Linked DNA regions of Sus scrofa. The protein of the gene in region 4 interacts with the protein of the main gene of each other region in a biochemical or structural test. Links are inferred from orthologs where the notes say so. Each region holds a gene or a part of one and is shown on either strand. Other genes may lie near its edges.

Region 1 (4,020 bases), on a different chromosome or scaffold from region 4:
AGAGCAACCAGATGCTGCGGGAGCGCTGTGAGGAGCTGCAGCGTTTCCAGGGCAGCCAGCGGGAGGAGAAGGAGTTTCTCATGCAGAAGTTCTGCGAGGCCAGGCGCCTGGTCGAGAGGCTGAGCCTCGAGAAGCTGGAGCTGCGCAGGCAGAGGGAGCAGGCCCTGCAGGAGGTGGAGCTCCTGAAGACCTGCCAGCAGGTAGCGGGGCGCCGGCCGCCTGCCCTCTCCCCCGGGGGTCCCCAGGAGCACCCTCGGGCGGCCGCACAGAGTCGAGAGAAGCCGTTATCCTCGGGGCTCTGACCAGGGCGGGCGGGGGTGGTGGCAGTGGGCGCCTTAGCCAGCAGGGCCTGCGGACGGGCGTCAGGGCGATCGGCAGGCCGTTGGCTGGCTCAGTGGGGGTTCAGGGTTTGGAAGCCGTTGGCCTGTCCAGGGCAGTGGAAACCTTGAGACCGACCCGATCATCCTCAGGTGCACGCAGATGGGCGTGAAAAGGAGGGGGATGAGTGGCGGGCGGGGTGGGTGGCGCTGCGTGTAGGGGTGGGGGCCTGAGGCTTGACCCTGGGCCTGAGCAGCCTGAGGTCTCGGGCCCAGGGTTTGCACAGCCTTGGGAGGGCGTCTGGGCGGTGGGGAGTTGGAGAACTCTTGAGTTTTGGGGCAGGTGCAGGACTTGTGGGAACAGCGTCACTCCCTCTTACCTGCTAGTGGCCTGGGGCCCGGGGAGCGCGCAGGTTTCTGTCACATGTTTGAGTCTCAGCAAGGTGGGGAGACTCCTGCTGGGCTCAGCCCGCATGGGCAGCTCTGTGCTCCTCTGGCCCCATCCTCAGTGGCCTTGCTGGGGGAGAAGCTTCGAGAGATGAGAGGGAGATGAGTCGGGGTGCCGGGGGCAGGAGAGGAGCCCCGGGGGTGGCCGGTCTCAGTGCTGACGTGGCGTGGCTTCTTCTCGTGCAGCAGATGGCAGAGGACAAGGCCTCAGTGAAAGCCCAGGTGACGTCCTTGCTGGGGGAGCTGCAGGAGAGCCAGAGTCGCTTGGAGGCCGCCACCAAGGAGCGGCAGGCTCTGGAGAGCAGGTGAGCGTGGAGGGAGAGCCCTGCCCGAGGCCGCTGACTTTTTGCCAGAGTTTTGGATGATTCCCGAGGGGCCGTTTGCGGGGTGGGGGGGACGAGTCCACGTGATCACAGTGCCCTCCCGGCCCAGGACCCCCGAGGACGGAAGGCCCAGGGCGGGGGCGGAGCACCCCCTGCCTCTGGCCCCCTCCTCCTTTCCTCCCTTCTCTGGCGGCGACTTGGGCCTCCCTGGAGGCCTGGGGCGCCACTGGAGACTCAGCGCCCTGAGTTTGATGGAGGGCTGGTCATGGCCCAGCACACGCCAAGCCTCCTGACTCCTGGAGGAAAGCAGGTGCTCCCCATAGGCCACCGTGTTGTGCCCACGGTCTAGGCATGGGGACCTCCCTCATCTGGAGGGCGAGTGTCCTGGCAGCGTAGGGGACTCACACCAGCCCTGCTGGCCCCTCTCTTCTGCAGAGGCTGCTTCCTGTAGCTGTGCTCACCGGGTCAAAGGGCACGGGCGTCTCTGTGGTTCTCACGCTGCCCGGTGGCTGCCGTCCAGGGAGACGGGTCCAGGCGGCAGGGCTGGCCGCAGCTCTCCCGGTGCGCTGGGCGCTGCGCCCGGAGGCCCGAGGCGTTTCCCAGCGCGGCGTTTAGACGCCCCGCCATCCTCAGAGCGAGCGGGGAGCCTCCCTCTAGAAAGCAGGCGGCGAGGGCGTGTGTGTGGCAGGGCCGAGCCCGCTGGCCTGGTCGCCTTCCCGGTTCCCCGCCGGGCTCGTCTCTACCCCCACTTCTCTAAGAGGCACGTGTGTCATTTCTAGGACACTGCCACGTGTTTCTTGCCTTTTTTCTGTGCACATAAAAGAGACTGCTGGAGGCGTGACGCTGTCTGCAGTTTTGTGGCTGACTCTGCTCAGTTAATGACCCCGCAGTTGCAGGCTCTGGGCATCTTCCTCTCTTGTCCCCCCACGTGGCTGAGATGGAAATGCTGGCTGGCAGCTCAGGGCAGGGAGCCTGCTTGCGTCTCCCATCGCTCGGTGTGGCCATTTAAACAGATCCAGACTTCGTACATGTGGCGGCCCTTTGAGCGCCAGGCCTGTCACATCAGAACGGCTGTCCTCCTTGTTCTCGGGCCCCTGGCAGACAGCACTTCCGTCTGGCGATGACAATGCCGGCAGCTAAGTTTTGTCGGGTCACAGATGGACATCTGAGTTGGATATAGCTGGCCAGGTGTGGAGATGAGACCAGAGGAGAGGGCCAGGAGCCGCCCCCCACTCAGAACAGCCACTGTCGCCCCCGGGACACAGGATGACGTGGCTGCAGCCTGGAGCTGGGGATGGAGGGAGCTGTGAGCAGACATGAGTGTGGAGATGCGAGGCGGGGCCGTGGGGTGACGGGCCCCCATCAGAGGGTCAGGCCCCTTGGGGGACCCGGGTGAGGAGAGCCGAGCTGTCACAGCTTGAGTGTGGATGGATCCAGGATCTTCTCCCGGGCAGGCAGGTGGGAGGATCTCGCAGATGTAGACGTTTGGGACTCCAGATGGGCCAGCCAGCCACCTCCTTGCCACTGTTAGAGCGGTGGTGGCGGGCGGGGTGGGGGAGCCGTGGAGCCACTGACCCCACTTTCCACCCCCCACCCCCGCCTCACCTCACTTCTCACCTGCGCCCGCCCCACCTTCTAGAAAGGCTGTCTTTGCTGACTGGCTCTACTTCCTTTCCTCCACTGAGATTGCTCTGGCCATGGCCCCCAGCACCCACCTCTCGGAACCCCACGGGCAGGTCCCTGGGGCTTCTTTCCCCTGGGACCCCCTCCTTCACCCCTGGCCCCAGTGCCTTCTGCTGCAGTCTTTCTTGGTGCTGCAGGGTTCCTCGAGCACTTTTGCTCCTGCTGGGGCCCTCCGGTGACCTCCCCTTCCTGCCACCAGGGTTCGCGCCACTAGCGAGCAGGTCCGGCAGCTGGAGAACGAGCGGGAGGCCCTGCAGCAGCAGCACAGCGTGCAGGTGGACCAGCTGCGCCTGCAGAGCCAGAGCATGGAGGCCGCCCTGCGCATGGAGCGCCAGGCCGCCTCGGAGGAGAAGTGAGTGCCGGCTGCGGCGGCCTTTGCCTGCCCGCGTTCAGATCTACCCTCTGGCCCACGTGTTCAAAGCCTCGGGGCCGGGGTCCTGTGTGCCACTTGCATGCCCTTTGAGTCTTCTTTAGTCTAGACCGTCCTTATGCTTTTCCCGATTTTTAATGGAGTTGACTTTTAAAATATATTTTTTATGTTTTTTTTTTGGTCATGTCTATGGCATGCGGAAGTTCCCGGGCTAGGGATCGAACCCAAGCCACAGCAGTGACCTGAGCTGTGACAGTGCCAGTGCCAGATTGTCTTAACCCACTAGGCCATCATGGACGTCTAAAGCTGACTTTTTTTTTTTTTTTTTTTTGTCTTTTTGCCATTTCTTGGACCGCTTCCGCAGCATATGGAGGTTCCCAGGCTAGGGGTCGAATCGGAGCTGTAGCTGCCGGCCTGCACCACAGCCACAGCAACGCGGGATCCGAGCTGCATCTCGACCCACACCACAGCTCACGGCAGTGCCGGATCCTTTAACCCATTGAACAAGGCCAGGGATCGAACCCGCAGCCTCGTGGTTCCTAGTTGGATTCGTTAACCACTGAGCCACGACAGGAACTCCAGGAACTCCTATTTTTAATTTTTATTAAAAAATGTTTCTGGTGGCTCAGTGGGTTAAGGATCCAGTGTTATCACTGCTGTGGCTCAGGTTGCTGCTGTGGTGCAGGTTTGATCCCTGGCCCAGGAACTTCCACATGCCACAGGTATGGCCAAAAAAAAAAAAAAAAAAAAGTTTCTTTTGGCCGTGTCGTGGCAAGGGGCAGTTCCCAGGCCAGGGATTGATGCCAGTGCCGCATCCTTAACGCAGTAGGGCCACCAGGGAACTCCGAGGACAGCTGTATCTTATTATAAGTGTTTCTTC
Region 2 (3,537 bases), on a different chromosome or scaffold from region 4:
ACGCAGCTGCTGATGAGCGAGGTGATGAAGCTGCAGAAGAAGGCGCAGGACCTGACGGCGCTGCTGGGCTCCAAGGACGACCTCATCAAGGAGCTGCGCGTGAAGGACGGCCTGCTGCGCAAGCACCAGGAGCGCGCGCAGAGGCTCAAGGAGGCCTGCGAGGCCGGCGGCCGCGAGCTCCAGCGCTGCAAGGACGAGAACTACGACCTGGCCCTGCGCCTGGCCCGTCAGAGCGAGGAGAGGGGCACCGCGCTCATGCGCAACCGAGACCTGCAGCTGGAGGTGCCTGGCGGCGGGGCGGCCGGGCGGGCGGCGGGCGGGCGGCGGGCCCCCGGGCTGGGCTGACGGGCGGCCCCGCAGATCGATCGGCTCAAGCACAGCCTCATGAAGGCCGAGGACGACTGCTCGGTGGAGCGCAAGCACACGCTGAAGCTCCGGCACGCCATGGAGCAGCGGCCCAGCCAGGAGCTGCTGTGGGAGCTGCAGCAGGAGAAGGCGCTGCTGCAGGCCCGGGTGCAGGGCCTGGAGGCCTCCGTGCAGGTGGGGCCAGCGGGGCGAGCACAGCGCAGCCGGGCGGGGGGCCTCCAGCCCCGCCGCCCCGCCACCCTCTCCCTTGGCGCCACAGGAGGGGCGGCCGGACCAGAGCAGCCCCTACATCCAGGTGCTGGAGGAGGACTGGCGGCAGGCGCAGCGGGACCTCCAGGAGCAGACCCGCACCGTGTTCTCCCTGCGCAAGGACCTGCGCCAGGCCGAGGCCCAGCGCGCCCGGGTACGCGGCCCGCGGTGGGGGAGGTGGGCTGGCCTCTCAGCGCTGCGTCCCTCCCGGCCCCTTCCTGCAGGCGAGGCCCGGCTGGCCGGCCGGCCCCGCCCCGAGCGCGTGCTCCCCAGGCTGGGTCCAGGGTCCGGGCCCCGGGCCGGGGTTGGCGGGGCTGCGGGCGGCGGGGTTAGCTGCCGTCTCGCCCCCGCAGTGCCTGGAGGAGAAGGAGGTGTTCGAGCTGCAGTGCCTGGCCCTTCGGAAGGACTCCAAGATGTACAAGGACCGCATCGAGGCCATCCTGCGGCAGATGGAGGAGGTCGCCGTCGAGCGGGACCAGGTAGCGGTCAGGGCAGAGCCCCTCCGGGGAGGCGGCGGTCAAACAGGCTTTACACAACGCAAGCAGGTCACGCTTTACACACGGTTCTCGCCGAAGAAGGAGAGACGTTCCCCGGTGGCGCGGCAGCAGGTTAAAGACCCAGCGTTGCCACTGCCATGGCTCAGGTGGATGCTGCGGCATGGGCTTGGTCCCTGGCCCGGGCACTGCCCGCAGCCGCGGCCAAAAATAAACTGAGAATGCTGAGGACGCTAATCCCCGCGCCACCTTCCGCTGTACTTGCCGTTTCTTCTTCGCTCTACAAGAATGGGAGTTTTCTGACTTGTTTTGCAAATGGTTTTTTAGCTTAAGAAGCCGTGGCGCCTGTGTGGGCTGCCCTCTTGTGTGCGGGAGCATGCCCGGCGCAGGGTGGCGTCTGCTCCCTGCCCCATCGCTCTCCTTTCTAATCGGTCACAGCCGATGTTCCAGTCGCTTTCTGGAGGGTGACTGTCACTTGGTGTCAGGAGCCTTAAAACGCAGATTCCTTTTAGCCCAGCAATCCGCTTCTAGAAGCCTCTCTCATGGGAACCACAGCCGTGCTGAAAGCCCGGTAGGTGGGTTCTTATCTCAAGGCCATGGACACAGTGAGATCGGGGGCGGCACCTGGAAATGGGCAGCTCAGCAGACAGGAGGTGCCCCCACCCACCGCAGGGAGTGCAGGGCTGTGGCTGGGCCCGGGAGGCCCTCGGCCTGGGGAGGCTGGGGCCTGGCCGCCCAGGTGAGTCAGGGTGGGGGGTCTGTTTGGTCCTAAGCTGGCAGCATGCACAGAAATGAAGGCAGTGCTCTGACTAATCAGGCCTTGGGAGTGCCCGTCGTGGCGCAGCAGTGGTGAATCCAGCTAGGATCCATGAGGACGCGGGTTCGATCCCTGCAGCGTAGCTGTGGCTGTGGCGAAGGCCGGCAGATGCAGCTCGGATTCATCCTCTGGCCTGGGAACCTCCGTATGCCGCAGGTGCGGCCGCAAAACAGATCAAGCCCTGGCCGTTTGGGGTCGCCTGACACAGGGGATGTGGTTGGGCTCCGTGAATTGCGGCTGGAGACGAGACTGGCTTGTCCTCGGGTGACCAGGGGCGTGGGGGTGCGATGAGAGAGGTGGTTAAATCCCACAGCCGTCAACCGTCGTGCTCCTGAGCTCAAGCCCCACCCAGGGTGTGTGACCCCCGCGTGTGGGGAGGCGAGCGTGTGCCGAGCGTGCCAGGGAGCGGTTGGCAGGGGCTAGTCCTGAGGGTCATTGTCTGTAGATTTTCTGAACATACACGCGTTCTGTCACGCGCCTGTATCACGTTTACGACCCCAAACACGAAGGACGTGCTTGAGGACAGAGGAAGAAGCCAGTGCCGGCCCCCCGCCCGCCCTCCTCGCGGGAACACGGCTAGAGATGGGGCGGCCTGTGCTGCGCTTGCGGGGTCCCCACCGCCTGCCCCGCCCTGCGCTGCCGCCCCACAGGCCATCGTGACGCGGGAGGAGCTGCACGCGCAGCAGGCCCGCAGCCTGCAGGAGAAGGACGTGCTGCGGAAGCAGGTCCGCGAGCTGAGCGAGAAGGTGGACGAGCTGCAGCTCCAGCTGTTCCAGCGCGAGGGCCAGCTGCTGGCTCTGGAGGACAGGCTCAGGCGGCAGCAGCTGGATACACCTGTCCTGGTGGGCCTCCCTGGGGTCGGGGGACCCTCGGTCAGAGCCACGCCTGTGCCTCCGTGGGGCCCGGGGCTGTGTCCACTCTGGGGCAGGTGTGTCCCTAGAGACCGCAGAGGCCCGAGGAGGAGCCGCCGGTCCCCAGCCCTTCCTGAGCCACCTCCCTCCTGCTGGTGGGCTCAGGGCCTGGCAGGCTGCTCTGGGTGCTGTGATGGGGACAGAGAGGGGCTCTGGCCAGGGGCCTCCCTGGAGGGTGGGCTGGTCTGGGACCCTTCTCCACGCCCACCCCCGCAAGCCTGCTGACTGACGCCTCTTCTGTGACCCCAGAGCTCTGACCTGGAGGACAGCTCTCCCCGGAGCTCCCAGGAGGTGAGTATGGCCCCGGGGGTCAGCCCAGGGCCGGCCTCGCGCGGGGCTCCGGGCCTCAACCTCCGCCAGCCACCCTCCCGGTGCTGGGCAGAGCAGCGCGGGCCCCTGAGAAGCTTGCACCGGGGCCGGGGGTGGGGCAGTGACGGGGAGGGGCACACAGAGGGCTCGGCCGTGCGGTGGGGGGTGCTGGTGTAACCGGGTGCCCATCTCTCCTGGGAAGCTCTCGCTCCCGCGGGACCTGGAGGAGGACGCCCAGCTCTCAGACAGAGGTGAGGCGGGGAGCCGTCTGGCGAGGAACCTGGCCAGAGCCTCTTGATCTGCTCAAGTTGGCGCCCACCCTGACCTTCATCACACAACCGAGGACGCGGCTGCCCCAGGACACGCGCCCCAGCCCTGTCCCGCTGGCCTT
Region 3 (4,327 bases), on a different chromosome or scaffold from region 4:
CAGCTCAGGTATCAGCCGCCTCCCCGACCCGAGGCTGGAGGGAGGCCCGTGTTCCCACATCCAGCCTCCTGGGGAGGGAGTCCGTCTGCGGCAGCTCCGTGGCGCCTGGACTGCCCCGGGGTTGTGTCCCACTTCCTTCAGCGCAGATGTCACTGCCGGTGTCGTGTTTGTCCCTCACAGTAAGACGGTGGTTTGCAAGCAGAAGGCCCTGGAGCTGCTGCCCAGGGTGGAGGAGGTAGTGAGTCTCATGAACGAGGACGAGAAGACCGTGGTTCGGCTTCAGGAGAAGCGGCAGAAGGAGCTCTGGAACCTCCTGAAGATCGCTTGTGTGAGTCCCTGGTGGCCAGGCTGGTGCCCCCGTCCCCAGCCTGTGAGGGGGACCGTGGGTACCCCCCAGACTCAGCCACTGCAGCTCAGTTTCCACTTTTCTGCCCCAGGACTTGGCGGGAACAGGGCAGGGTAGGGTGAGGGTTATTGTTCATAGTGTGGCTGCTGTGACACTCACCATAGCCATTCTTAAGACTTGGAGGTTGGAAGTCCAAGGTTAAGGTGTGGGCAGGGCTGGGCTCCCTCAGGAGGCTACAGGGAAGAACCTTGTCTCTTCTTAGATTCCAGTGGCTCCCGGCATCCTTGGCTTGTGGCTGCACCTCTCCAGTCTTTGCCTCTGTTCTCCACTTGTCTCTCTCTCTGTGTCTCTTTCTCTCTTATCCTTTTGGCCCAGTCCATGGCATGTGGAAGTTCCCAGGCCGGGGATCGAACCTGAGCCACAGCAGTGACAATTCCAAATCCTTAACTGCTAAGCTACTAGGAACTGCACCTGTGTGTCTATTATAAGAACATATCACCAAAGTTCCCACTGTGGCTGAGTTAAGCATCCAACTGCAGCAGCTCAGGTTGCTGGGGAGGCAGGGGTTCTAGCCCTGGCCTGGCGCAGTGGGTTAAAGGATCCAACGTTGCTGCAGCTCAGATTCAAACCCTGGTCTAGGAACATCCATGTGCCTTGGGTGTAGCCATTAAAAAAAAAAAAAAAAAGAACCACTTGTCACTGGATTTAGGCCACTAGATAGTCCAGGGTGATCTCATCCTAGGATCTTTAACCTCATCTGCAAACATCCCTTTTCCAAATGAGGTCACATGCTCAGGTTCCTGGAGATCCGCATGCAGCCCCCACAGTGCATGTCAAGGGTCCCCTTCCTGTCCATGCCATACAGCACTGCAGCCCGTACTTCCTGGGCCCATGGCCTTAACATAGCTGTGATCCCACTGAATGTTGCTCTGAGAGCCCAGGACAGGGAAGGGGGAAGAGCCGGGAAGACCCATGTTTCTGGACCAGAGCTGGAGGGACGAACCCACGGTGCAGGCACCAGCTGTGGGGGTGCTGAGGAAGTTGACAGTGGAGTGACTTAGTCATCAGTCGGGGAGTGTGGCTGCTGAAGGCGGAAGCAGGACACAAGGACAGGGCTTTTGAGGATCATGGTGACGGAGCATATCTGCAGGCCAGGCAAAAGGAGACGGCGTCCTGGGGGTGTGTGTGTGGCGGGGGGGTGTTCCCAGCGTCACAGAGATGGGAGCAAGTCCCCAGTCTGAGGACAGTGGGAGGTCAGCGTCAGGAGCAGGAGCAGAAGGGGGGTGGGTGACATCTCCTGTAACGAGGAGAGACAGCCAAGAAGAGAGGTGAGGAGGCAGAGGTGAAGAGGCCAGGTCGAGGTGCTGAGGTGCTGACCTGATCCGCCAGCTGCGTCCACTAGACACTTATTGAGCACTGACGCCATGCCCGGCAGGGTGCTGAGAGCTGGAGATGCAGGAGGGAAAAGGCGTGGTGTTCAGCCCAGGGAGCTCACAGTCTGGTGAGGGGCATGCCGGGAATGAACGAGAACAGTCTGGAGCAGGCATGGTAAGCAGGAACCATGGCGTGAAGGCCAGGGGGTCAAGGGAGCGCCAGGACAGGTCGCCTGGAGAGGAAGCCAAGGGAGGCAGGTGAACGGCCAGGTGGGGATGCAACGTTAGAGGCCTGGAGGTGAGAGTGGCATGTCGGGTGGGGGTGGGGGGGTCTCACTGGGGATGAAATTAGAGAGGTCAGGAGAGCTGGCTTTGCGGCCACACTTTATTTTGAAGGCACAGGGGAAACATAGCAGGACTTAATTTCTCTTTTTGTTTGGAGGGAAGTTAAGAGTGGGAATATGTGATCCCCTTTGGTTTTTAGAGAAATTACTCTGAGAGTTCCCTTGTGGTGCAATGGGTTGAAGATCCAGCGTTGTCACTGCAGCAGCTTGGGTCACTCATCTGGCTTGGGTTCAATCCCTGGGGGCCAAGAACTTCCAGGAGGGGCAATGATAATAATCACAATAATAGAAAAATTACTCTGGTGGCAGCTGGAGGCTCTCCCTGAGAGAAGGGGCCTCTCCTGCCGTCCTCATGGAACATGATGGTCCTGGGAGGAGGGGGGTGACCTCCATCACAGTCTCAGACCCAGAGCAGGAGTTGGGGGGATGGACAGACAGCTGGGTCTCCACGGGAGATGATCAGTGAGGAAGACATGGCAGAAGGGCAAAGAGCGAGGTGAAACTGGGTGTTTGAATGGCTGGGTGAACTTGGCCCTGGATGTTCGGTTGGCTCAGAGCATGTGGAGCTGGATAGGTCCCCAGAATAAGAGCCTGAGGGGGAGGGAGGAACGATGGGCCAGTGGGAAGCTCCTGGGGCCAACAGAGGAAGTTTGCTGGAGCTTGGAGAGGGACCGGGGTGAGGCGGCAGAAGGTGCTGAGAAGGTTGCAGAGGTCACAGGTCATGTCGGGACTGCAGGTGTGAGAGGTGTAGGAGCTGTTGGTGGAAGGCCTTGGCTCTGAGATGGAGCTGCCACAGCCTGGGCGCCTGGCTTTCCTCCTATCCCATGGATGAGGCGAGTTACAGAAAGTCGCTTGGGATCTTTATGTGTCTGTCTTCTACGTGGAAAGAGTAAACACACCTTCTTTCTAGCTTCCTTGTAAGAGTTTATCAAGCAATCAAACTGATGAAAAACAGGGCCTGCAAATACAAGCCCTCAACAGGGAGACCCTTTTATCCAGAAGTGCACATGTGGGTCCAGAAACATTTGCTGGACTGAAACGCAAGCCCTCAGATAGTGATGGTGACCCGTCTCCTCCAGGAAGGGCCTGTGTCTTGAGGCCAGTCATCGTGAGAAAATACCCTGGCATGGATGCAAGATTTGAGTCATCCCCTTGTTCCGAAACCGTGCAGCTTCCTTTCTGGTTTTGTCCTCTAGAGCAAGGTCCGTGGTCCTGTCAGCGGAAGCCCGGACAGCATGAATGCCTCTCGCCTGAGTCACCCCAGCCAGCTGATGTCGCAGCCCTGCCCTGCCCCCGACAGTTTACCTGAGGCCATCAAGAAAAGGTAGGTCCCCAGAGTTCCTGTGGTTGGCTTAGTGGTAACTAACTTGACTAGTATCCATGAGGATGAGGGTTCGATCCCTGGCCTCACTCAGTGGGTTAAGGATCCGGCATTGCCGTGTGGGTCACAGATGTGGCTTGGATCTGGTTTCGCTGTGACTGTGGTATAGGCTGGCAGCTGTAGCTCCGCTTCAACCCTTAGCTTGGGAATTTACAAATGGCGTGGGTGGGAAAAAGAAAAAAGAAAAGGTAGGTCCCCCTTAGCCGTGGGATGAGCAGCAGGTATGGGTGTGTCCAGAGGTCGTGAGAATGGAAGTGCATGTTTCTCAGACAGGCCATGTCACCCATCAGCGACTCTGCTCCTTGGTGTTTTGTTCCATGTGTTGGGTGCTGTGGGGGCAGATGTGTTTTGCTCTCAGATCCCCTCTTGACTTGCTGGCTAAAGTTTTCCTGTCTTTGGAGTTCCCACTGTGATGCAGTGGACTCAGGATCTGACTGCAGTGGCTGGGGTTGCTGGTGTTCAGTCCCTGGCCTGGCACAGTGGGTTAGGGATCCAGTGTTCCTACAGCTGTGGTGTAAGATGCAGCGGTGGCTCAGATTCAGTTCCTGGCCCAGGAACTTCCATATGCCACGGGTGTGGCCATTTAAAAAATTCTCCCTGTCTGAAGGTTGGGTTGCTCATTGCTGAATGGGCGTATGGAAAGTGCTGGTCAGTCCCATGGTGTCCTCTGTTCCATCCATCATGGTCGGCTCTCTGGCCGTGCCCTGTGCCCCAAGGCATCGCACCTCCCCCTCCCACCCCATCTCCACTTTGAGTCACAAGTCACAGATCCCTCCCTGCCCTGCCCATTGCATGCACTCCTGCCAGAAGTGGGAGCAGCACCAAAGCCCATACGGTGAGGTTTTCCTCCCTGCTTCCTATCTCTTGTGCTGCCTCCAGGCCC
Region 4 (4,784 bases):
CTTCAGCCCCTTCAAGTGCGACCCAAATCCCCTTCTCAACAGGTCTTCACTCACCATGCCATACCCCCTCAACCTGCTGCCCCGTTTTATATTTTCTGCGTATTTATCATCTTCTAACGTAATAAATAATTTACATAACATTTTTCAAATGTCTGTCTGCCCTGCCCCAAACACACACACACACACACACACACACACACACACACACACGAATTTAAACTCCAGGAGGAAAGGAATTTTTAACTATTTCGTTCATAGCTATTTCCCCAGCACCTAGAACAGTGTCTGGCCCATAGTTGACATTCAACAAATATTTGTGAATGAAAGAACAACTAGTTAAGTGAATTGGGTTAGAAAAAGATGACGGAAGATTAAGCAATCAGAAAAAATACTGTGTATGAATATGGACAAACACACATGATGTAATGTTAAAAGTAAGATCCCTGCCCTGTGATGGAAAAATACATTGATGCGGCCTTGACAACATTGTTGTTTTCTGGTTCTTGTTTTCCCTTCCTTTAAAGGATTCTGGATCCTCAAATTTGTCTTCCGCCCCCTGGTCCGCATTTTTATCTACCCTCTAGCTTCCAAATACCATATACTTTCTTTCTAGTTTATTTACCATGTTGTCCAAACAATCGTCTTGGGCCCTGAGCCCTTTCCGGACTTATCACCCTCGTTACTTTGGATGCACCGTTCTGAGAATCGTATCTGTTCATCAGTCTCCCCCAGAAAGATGGGAGAACTCTTACGGGACTGGGTGTCTAGAATATAGTAGGAAGGACTCAATAAATGTTTGAGCAAGAGCTGAGCACGGACTGTGGGCCCAGACCTCTAAGAACCTCACATCTGTCACGTCATTGAATTGTCACCTGTGAGAGGTAGAAGAGACACATCTTCATCCCTCAGATGAAGAAATAAGGAAATACGTTTATCATAAACAGTGACCAGAAAGTATGCAGAGGTTAAATGAGGTGTTAAAGTGATGGCATTGTAGGCGGTTTTTCTCTTTCAGAAATTCCTTCAATATGAACTGCAGTTAGGCTGTATATGAGTCTCGTGTGCGCGCGCGCGAGCGTCTGTGTGTGACCAAACCATTGTAAAACTTGCGTGGGCAAACAGCAACAGGAAATCGGTGGGCAGGGGCTGGGAGAAGGGGAGGAACACAGCAGCACCGACCAGCAGAGCTCCAGCTGCATCAGAGCCGCCCGCGCGGGCGGCGACCGCCCACAGACCGAGCCGCGCCGGCCCCGCCCACGGAAACGATCCTCTCGGGAGGCCTCCCCCCGCCCCATGCAAACGACCTGGAGGCCGTGGGCGGGGCCACCCTGGAAGGGCTCCGGCCGGGGGCGGGACCAGGCCGGCCGCGGGCTGGCTCCGATTGGCTCTCGGAGAGACGGGACGGGCTCTCCGAGGGCCGGCCTCCCAGAGGGGCGGTCCTGCGCCCCGGCCTCCGCGAGCGCGCAGGAGCCGAGCCCGGAGCTCGGCGTCTAGACGCGTAGGTCTGCGCCGCCGTCGGCCCGGAGGCAGAGCCGGAAGCGCTTGTTTGACCCTCGGTCCCCCTGTTTTCGAGGAGGTAGCCGTCCCCCCACCCTCTCCGCCTCCCCTCCCCACCCCTCCTCGGGAGGCCGAAGCCCCCAGCCTGGGCGGGGCGGCGCAGCCCGAGCGCGGACCCGGAAGGAGCGCCGTCCCCCGCCTCCGCCATGGAGCCCGCCGCGCCGTCCCTGACCGAGGAGGACCTGACCGAAGTGAAGAAGGACGTGAGTAGCACGGCCGGGCCCGGGCGGGCGGGCGGGGCGGGCTGCGTGCCTGCGGGCGACGGGAGCGGAAACCCGGCGGCCCGGCCCGGCCCGGCCCGCAGCTGGGGAGCAGCGCGCGGTGGGAGAAGCGGCAGGTCCGGGCGCCGCGGGAGCCGAGCCGGCATCGCGGGGACCTGGTGGAAGCGGTCCGACCCCTGGTGACCTGTGAACTCGCGTGTTAAATCAATCAAAGCGGGGCTTGGGTTTCTGGAACCTTGTTGGGTGGAGCGCTCCTTCACAGCCTCCGGCCCACTCCCCACCCATCCTCTGGCGCTTCCAGGGGTGGAGCTACGTTGTCGGAAGTCGGCGACTCAAGCTCGTCCTTGAGTCTGAGCCTTGGCTGCTGGCTCTCTCAGCCTGGAGCAAAAGCTGGACCAGGTAAAGCATCCCAAGCAGTGGAGCAAATATGTGAAACTTTGGCAGCGGGGGTTGAGGGAAGCTCAGCAGCTGAAAGCACGAGTCGGAATTCCCCTAGAAAGCAAACGCCCACGTATTTAAATCGGAGGGGCGAGGGGGAGGGGACGGGGGCCGGGGCCCGAAGGCCGAGAATTTATTTACAGGTGAACGCTGGAAACATTCGGTAGCTGCGTTATGCTCCGCTGCTTGGATGCTGCAGAAATGTACAAATCTTAATATTTATTCACCAAGAGTGACTTGTTTCTCTTACCCTTTGCTCTTAGTTGTTTGTTTTGCTTTGTGAGACTTGTATGAGTACCATTAAAATACTTTGTATTAATTCACATTTTAAAAATCAACATGAACTGTGTTCTCGCTTAGCGCCGCAGTGCTGTACAAAACCACCTTTGTGAAGTGGACAGGAAGCAGCTTTTTAAATGTTCCTGTGCTTCCTTTTCCCTCACCTGTGAGGTTTATCACACTGTACCCATAATGCAGAGTCGGTGTGACTCATTAGCAGAAGGACTCTGGTTAAGAGTAGGGCTTGTGCCTTAATTTCCTCCTTCAGCAGATAATTCTGGGGCGCTCACTAGATGGAAAGCACTGTTCCTCGGCCTGGAAAGATACCCAAAAATGACAGGTCCCTGCTTCCCATTCCCGTCAGAACTCGGATGTTGGTAACTACTAAAGAATGAGTGTTGTGCTGTTCAGGATTTGTGCCAGTAAAAGCATGAACTTCAGGAGGCAGGTGCTGCATCGCACGGTTTACAGTGTTCTAGCGTCATCTGTACACCAGCCTCTGAGGGGGATCGCTGTCTTTTCCATTTTACAGTTGACAAAACAGGTAGTGAGAGGTTGCAAGTGGGAGGTTCCAAAACCCGCACACAAACACAGATGTGAAGGGTGACTGCCAGGCCTGTATTTTTTGCCGTCAGCTCATTGACATTCTCCATCTCCAAGATTTCAGTGCACAGCCAGCTCTGAAATTCATAACCTTGGGGAATCATGCACCGGTTTCAGGACAGCTGTGAAAAAAATAGAGCTGCTCATTTTTTTCTTAGAACATTTTTTCACGTGATGGAAATGGTTTATGACCTTAGAAGGTTTAAAATTATCATACATATATTTGGCCTGCCTTCTTTCCCAAATCTAAGTGCTTATTTCCAAATAGTTGCGGGAAATCCAGTTTGATATCCTTCAGATTCCTCACCTTGTCTAAGGTTGATCATTTTATCATCCCTCCCTCAAAGCTGCTTGTTGTTTCTGCTGTTTTCTCTCTTGAAGAATATACAATCATCCCTCTGTAACTATGGAGGACTGGCCGCTGATACTAAAATCCATGGATGGAGTTCCCGTCATGGCTCAGCGGTAACACACCTGACTAGTATCCATGAGGACGCAGGTTCCATCCCTTTCCTCACTCAGTGGATTAAGGATCCGGCGTTGCCGTGAGGTGTGGTGCAGGTTGCAGATGAGACTCGGATTTGGTGTTGCCGTGGTGTAGGCCAGGAGCTACAGTGCAGATTTGACCCTAGCCTGGGAACTTCCATACGCCTCAGGTGATACCCTAAAAAGGCAAAAAAAAAATCCCGTGGATGGGCAAGTCCCTGGTAAGCGCTGTCCAGTTAGTCCTCCCAGGGATCGTGCCGTGTATTTATTGGTGATGACCAGTGGGGAATCTGAAGCTAGAGAGGCTGAGGAGCTTGCCCAGCTCCCACAGGAGATCGTGGCAGATGCAGGATTTGCACTGAGGTGGGCCTGGGTCCAGAGCCGTGCTCTTAACTTCTCCACTATTCTGCCATGTGAGAAACTTTATCCTTTAAGTTGCGGTGGAACACAGTGTTTCACATTTTTTAAAAATTAACAGCATTTCAATCTTAGTAGAATTCATCTCACACTCCAGATTTCCATTTTTTTTTCTTGAGCAATGAGACGTCTGATGATGTGTGGGGAGGAATTTGAGGGCTGTGGGGAGAGAAGGAAGAGGTACAGCGAGGTGTCTTGTTAGCAGTCCAGGCAGAGTACAGGGGACCAGAACTAGGACGGTGCTAGGGCTCGGGAGGGAGAGGGGGCAGATGAGAGAAGTGTCGAGGGCGGACTGGTGGGACTTGGAGGAAGGGTGATCCAGTGTGGCAAGCGAGTGAAAGGGGAAAAGCCCAGGACGAGTTGTCGGGGTGTATCGCGCGTCTGGACGGATGGCGGCCCTCCCAGGGGAGCCGAGAGCGTCCGAGGAAAAGGATGGGGACGCAGATGCGGCTTGGGGCGTGTTGAGTTTGAAGTACTGCCGGCATCTCTAGGTGGAGAGAGTCTTGATCATAGGCATTTTCAGGAGTCATCCACGCACAGGGGTTGGAAATTGCAGCAGTTGAGCTTTTCCAAGGAGACGGTCTTTTTAAGTCTGTGTTTCTCATTTGTTATCCCCACAGCTTAAATTCTCGCACTCAGCACATCCTGGGTAAGAGAGTTCAGCAGTCTTCTCATGTCTCCTTTGACCCGTTTTTGTTTCTCCCAATCGTCTGTAAAAGTCTTCTTTTCGCCTCTTATTTATAAACCTTTGATGAGGTCCCCCCGCCACTGCATTCCTTTTAT
Region 5 (4,177 bases), on a different chromosome or scaffold from region 4:
CCCCAGAGTTGGGGGTTTGGCTCCCTGGTGGGCAGTGACCTGGGGGATGGCAGGAGCAAGCGTCCAGCCAGGAATTCCAGATTTGCTGTCCAACCAACAGTCACTCAAGCACCTGCCCCCATTGTCACACAGATCAAAGCACAGCCAGGCTATTAGCCAGCCTTGAAGAGTTTATTGGGTATTAAAGTTTTCACAGACAGCGTGGATGGAAAATGAGTGGGCAGAGTTGGAGCCACGAAGGTTTTAGGTGCAAAGGTGATACTGTCCAAGAATCTTTGCTGTTAGAATTCCGGTAGTGGCTACACTGGTGAGACAGGGAAGCAGTGACCCGGAGGACCAGGGCCACCTCTGCCTCTGGCCCTGGGTGCTCATCCCACCAGCACATTCAGTTTGTGACAAGTCTTCTGAGCTACAAGCTTAGGAGCATGTGTACGTTTCGGTATTCTTGTTCTGTTTCAGTGCAAAGGTGTTTTTGTTTTTGTGGGTTTTTTTTTTTTTTTTTTGAAGTGGCACCTGCAGCAAAACAGGGATCATTTTCAGAAATGATGAGCTCATGGGCACCAGGGAGTCATGCTTGAGAACCCTTACACCCCCCCGGGGACAGCCAGCCCACCTCACCTCCCAAGCATTTTCCACCCCATCTAGTACCAAGAGCGCATCTGTAGGCAGAACAGAGTAGCAGGTGTTCTCTCGCTGTCTTTGCTTTTTATTAAGACTCGTTCATGCCAGCTGATTCACCCCAGGCTGGGGACTGGGGCTCTGGCAGTGCCCATCCCTGCGCGTGGCAGAGGGAGCGAGGGGTCTAAATGAGCAGGGCCATGTGTCTCAGAGGTTGGGGTCCATCTGGGGCACTCGGGGCTCTCGCATCCTGCACCGCGGGCCCCTCCCCAGGCACCCAGCCTGGCAGAGGTGGCATGGGCCCTGCTGACCTCTGTCCCCTGGGCTTGCAGAACAAGCACTGTCTGCTGGAGGCTGGGATCAGCTGCACCCGAGACCTGATCAAGTCCCGCATCTACCCCATCGTGCTCTTCATCCGCGTGTCAGAGAAGAACATTAAGAAGTTCAGGTAGGTCTCCAGGACCCCCAGGGCCTTAAAGTACCACCTCCACCCCCACCCCACCAAGCCTCTGTGGTCCCACCAAGAACAGCTGGCTGCTTGGGTTCCCCCCAGCCCCGCTCACCTCTTTAGTGAATCCTTATCAAGTGTCTGTCCCCAGTCCAGGGACATGGCCCTGACCTCCAGCAGCAGAGACAGTAACATACACGTAGGTGGAAGGTGTCCAGGAGGATGCGTGCCAGGAGAGCCAGGTGGGCGCCGCAGGACCCAGGTGGTCCAGGAAGCTGATGTTGGCACAGACCCACTACAGTGAGGCCAGGTCGGGCGGGTGCAGAGGGCACAGCAGGCGCCCAGACCCAGAGGTGGGACAGCTGGAGGAGGCCAGTGTGGGCAGAGCCATGAGAAGGGACTTTGTAGCCAAGTGGGGTCCAACCACGCCAGCCCATGTGGGCCATAGGACAGTGTGACATCTCCTGAGTGAGACAGAGCTACTGGTGGTTTTGAGGAATGACATAATCTAACGTGGGATGGCAAGGCCCACTGGCTGCTGTGCCAAGACGGGCATGGCGACAACCTGGACAAAGGACCATGATGCGGGACTGGGTCCCATCTGGTGAGCAATGAGGAAAGTCCGATCCTGGATCCATCAAGGTCAAGCCTGTGCGATTGGGGGAGGGGTCAGCTGTGGGATTTAATAGAAGGAGGAAATCAGGATGATGCCGAGGTGGGGGGCCTGCCTGTCACATGATTGGGGGCCTGCCTGTCACGTGGTGGCGTCTCTGGTCCCCACCTCTCCTCACACCAGCTGCAGCTGAGACTGAGGGTGGCCAGGCCACTCCATTCTTCCCCCAGGGTTTCCCATTAGGTGCCAGGCTTAGGGAACCATAAGTCAATGAGACCAGAGTCCCTACCTCATCGCCTCACATGCATCAGAATAGCTGCTGCACAAACACCAGAAACTGACACAGGTGGGCCCAGACGGGGAGAAGTTGGAGCCCTTGCACACTGCAGTGGGGTGGGAGATATAAAAGGATGCAGCTGTATGGAGAACAGCATGGAGGCTCCTCAAAAATTAAACATAGAGGAGCTCCCGTTGTGGCTCAGCAGGTTAAGAACCTGACTGGTCTCCCAGAAAGTGTGGGCTCAGTTCCTGGCCTCCCTCAGTGGGTTAAGGATATCCAGCATTGCTGTGAGCTATGGTGTAGGTCGCGGATGTGGCTCGGATCTGGTATTGCTGTGGCTGTGGTGCAGGCCAGCAGCTGTAGCTCCAATTCAATCCCTAGCCTGGGAACCTCCATATGCTGTGCATGTGGCCCTTAAAAAAAAGAGAGAGAGAGAGAGATTTAAGAAAATTAAATTAAAAAGACAGTTTTAGGAGTTCGCTGGTGGCACAGTAGGTTAAGGATCTGGTGTTGTCATTGCTGTGGCTTGGGTTTGATTCCTGGCCTGGGAACATCCTATGGCATGGGTGTGGCCAAAACGGGGCCGGGGGGCGGGGACATGTCTCAATTTTTTTTGGGGGGGCAGAAAGTAATAGTTGGTTTTGATTTGTGGTTGCCCTGTTTTTCAAGTATGTTAACCCCTTTCTATATCTGCTTTTTAGCCTGATAGTCCTATATGGGCTCAAACACATTATTAAAAAAGAGTCTATGGAGTTCCCATTGTGGCTCAACAGAAACAAATCTGACTAGCATCCATGAGGAGGCAGGTTTGATCCCTGGCCTCGTTCTGTGGGTTAAGGATCTCGCATTGCCGTGAGCTGGGGTGTAGTTCGCAGACGCGGCTCGGATCTGACATGGCTGTGGCTGTGGTGTAGGCTGGTGGCTGCAACTCTGATTCGACCCCTAGCCTGGGAACCTCCATATGCCGCAGGTGCACCCTTAAAAAAAAAGTCTAGATTTCCTTACTTTCCTTCCCCACATTCGGGGATGTCGAAGTCCTTTTTTAACATCCTCCCTTTTGTCCTTTTGCTGTTCCTTATGTTTACTGTCACTTTTACAGTAGGGTTTTTTTGGTTTGTTTTTCCTTTTGGGTCTGTATACTGGCTTATATAAGGAATTCCTTCCCAAGAGTGATTTCCTCCATCCTGTTTCTTGTTACTTCTTTTTTATTTAGAGAAGCCCTTTCAGTATTTCTTTTAGAATGGGTTTAGTATTGCTGTACTCTTTTAGCTTTTGTTTGTTGGAAAAATTCTTTATTTCTCCTTCTATTTTCAATGATAGTCTTGCTGGATAGAGTATTCTAGGCTGCAGGTTTTTCCCTTTCAGAACTTTGAATATATCTTGCCACTCTCTTCTGGCCTGTAGTGTTTCTGTAGAGAAATCAGCTGACAGCCTTAGGGGGGGTTCCCTTACAATTAACACTTTGTTTTTCTCTTGCTGCCTTTAGAATCAATCCTCTCTTTAACTTTTGTCACTTTTATTATAATATGTCTTGGTGTGGGCCTTTTTGGGTTCAACTTGTTTGGGGCCCTCTGTGCTTCCCGTATCTTGATATCTGTTTCTTTTAGATTTGGAAACTTTTCAGCCATAATTTCTTCAAATATATTTTCAATCCCCTTTTCTTTTTCTTCTCCTCCTGGAATCCCTATTATGCCTAGATTGGCTTGCTTTGTATTAACCCATAGATCTCTTATATTGCTTTCATGTTTTTTCATTTGGTTTTCTGTCTGCTGTCCTGATTGAGTGATTTCTATTATGCTATCTTCCAAGTCACCAATTCGTTCCTCTGCATTATTCATTCTGCCCTTTAGTGCCTTTAGCTTGGTTTTCATCTCTGCAAATGAATTTTCTAATTTTTCTTGGTCCCTCCTTATATTTTCTAGCTCCTTTCTAAAGTACTGTTTATATCTGCTCTTAATTCCTTCATACTCACCCTTAATTCCTTCAGTATTTCCACTATCTCCCTTTTGAACTCAGTGCCTATTAGACTGCAGAGGTCTCTTTCATTGTCTGCTGCTTCAGGTAAATTCTCCTGTTCTTTTAACTGGGAATGGTTCCCAAGCTTCTTCGTTTTGCTTATATTTTTCTTTTCCTGTGAGTTTAGGGAAACGAACTACTGTAGTCTTGAAGGTCTTTCTATGTAAGAGCACCCCTTTGTATTTTGTGGGGTGTTACTATT

The links.
Region 1: the proteins of BCL10 (region 4) and IKBKG form a complex in vitro, tested with the Homo sapiens proteins (3 studies listed by BioGRID). The link is inferred for Sus scrofa from reciprocal best matches to the Homo sapiens genes BCL10 and IKBKG.
Region 2: the proteins of BCL10 (region 4) and CARD9 form a complex in vitro, tested with the Homo sapiens proteins (2 studies listed by BioGRID). The link is inferred for Sus scrofa from reciprocal best matches to the Homo sapiens genes BCL10 and CARD9.
Region 3: the proteins of BCL10 (region 4) and IKBKB form a complex in vitro, tested with the Homo sapiens proteins (2 studies listed by BioGRID, with this or other methods). The link is inferred for Sus scrofa from reciprocal best matches to the Homo sapiens genes BCL10 and IKBKB.
Region 5: the proteins of BCL10 (region 4) and CARD11 form a complex in vitro, tested with the Homo sapiens proteins (2 studies listed by BioGRID, with this or other methods). The link is inferred for Sus scrofa from reciprocal best matches to the Homo sapiens genes BCL10 and CARD11.

Annotation. Positions count from the first base shown.
Region 1 is NC_010461.5:125,047,529-125,051,548, forward strand, and holds part of IKBKG (NF-kappa-B essential modulator), read left to right. Parts: coding exon 1-200; intron 201-950; coding exon 951-1,069; intron 1,070-2,969; coding exon 2,970-3,122; intron 3,123-4,020. UniProt on the Homo sapiens protein: Regulatory subunit of the IKK core complex which phosphorylates inhibitors of NF-kappa-B thus leading to the dissociation of the inhibitor/NF-kappa-B complex and ultimately the degradation of the inhibitor.
Region 2 is NW_018084833.1:1,345,836-1,349,372, forward strand, and holds part of CARD9 (caspase recruitment domain-containing protein 9), read left to right. Parts: coding exon 1-282; intron 283-360; coding exon 361-540; intron 541-625; coding exon 626-769; intron 770-968; coding exon 969-1,094; intron 1,095-2,576; coding exon 2,577-2,768; intron 2,769-3,086; coding exon 3,087-3,128; intron 3,129-3,348; coding exon 3,349-3,397; exon of another isoform or gene 3,398-3,537. UniProt on the Homo sapiens protein: Adapter protein that plays a key role in innate immune response against fungi by forming signaling complexes downstream of C-type lectin receptors.
Region 3 is NC_010459.5:11,338,304-11,342,630, forward strand, and holds part of IKBKB (inhibitor of nuclear factor kappa-B kinase subunit beta), read left to right. Parts: coding exon 1-8; intron 9-180; coding exon 181-328; intron 329-3,259; coding exon 3,260-3,387; intron 3,388-4,327.
Region 4 is NC_010446.5:130,643,739-130,648,522, forward strand, and holds the start of BCL10 (B-cell lymphoma/leukemia 10), read left to right. Parts: upstream 1-1,688; 5' UTR 1,689-1,703; coding exon 1,704-1,760; intron 1,761-4,784. UniProt on the Homo sapiens protein: Plays a key role in both adaptive and innate immune signaling by bridging CARD domain-containing proteins to immune activation.
Region 5 is NC_010445.4:2,147,702-2,151,878, reverse strand, and holds part of CARD11 (caspase recruitment domain-containing protein 11), read left to right. Parts: intron 1-950; coding exon 951-1,066; intron 1,067-4,177. UniProt on the Homo sapiens protein: Adapter protein that plays a key role in adaptive immune response by transducing the activation of NF-kappa-B downstream of T-cell receptor (TCR) and B-cell receptor (BCR) engagement.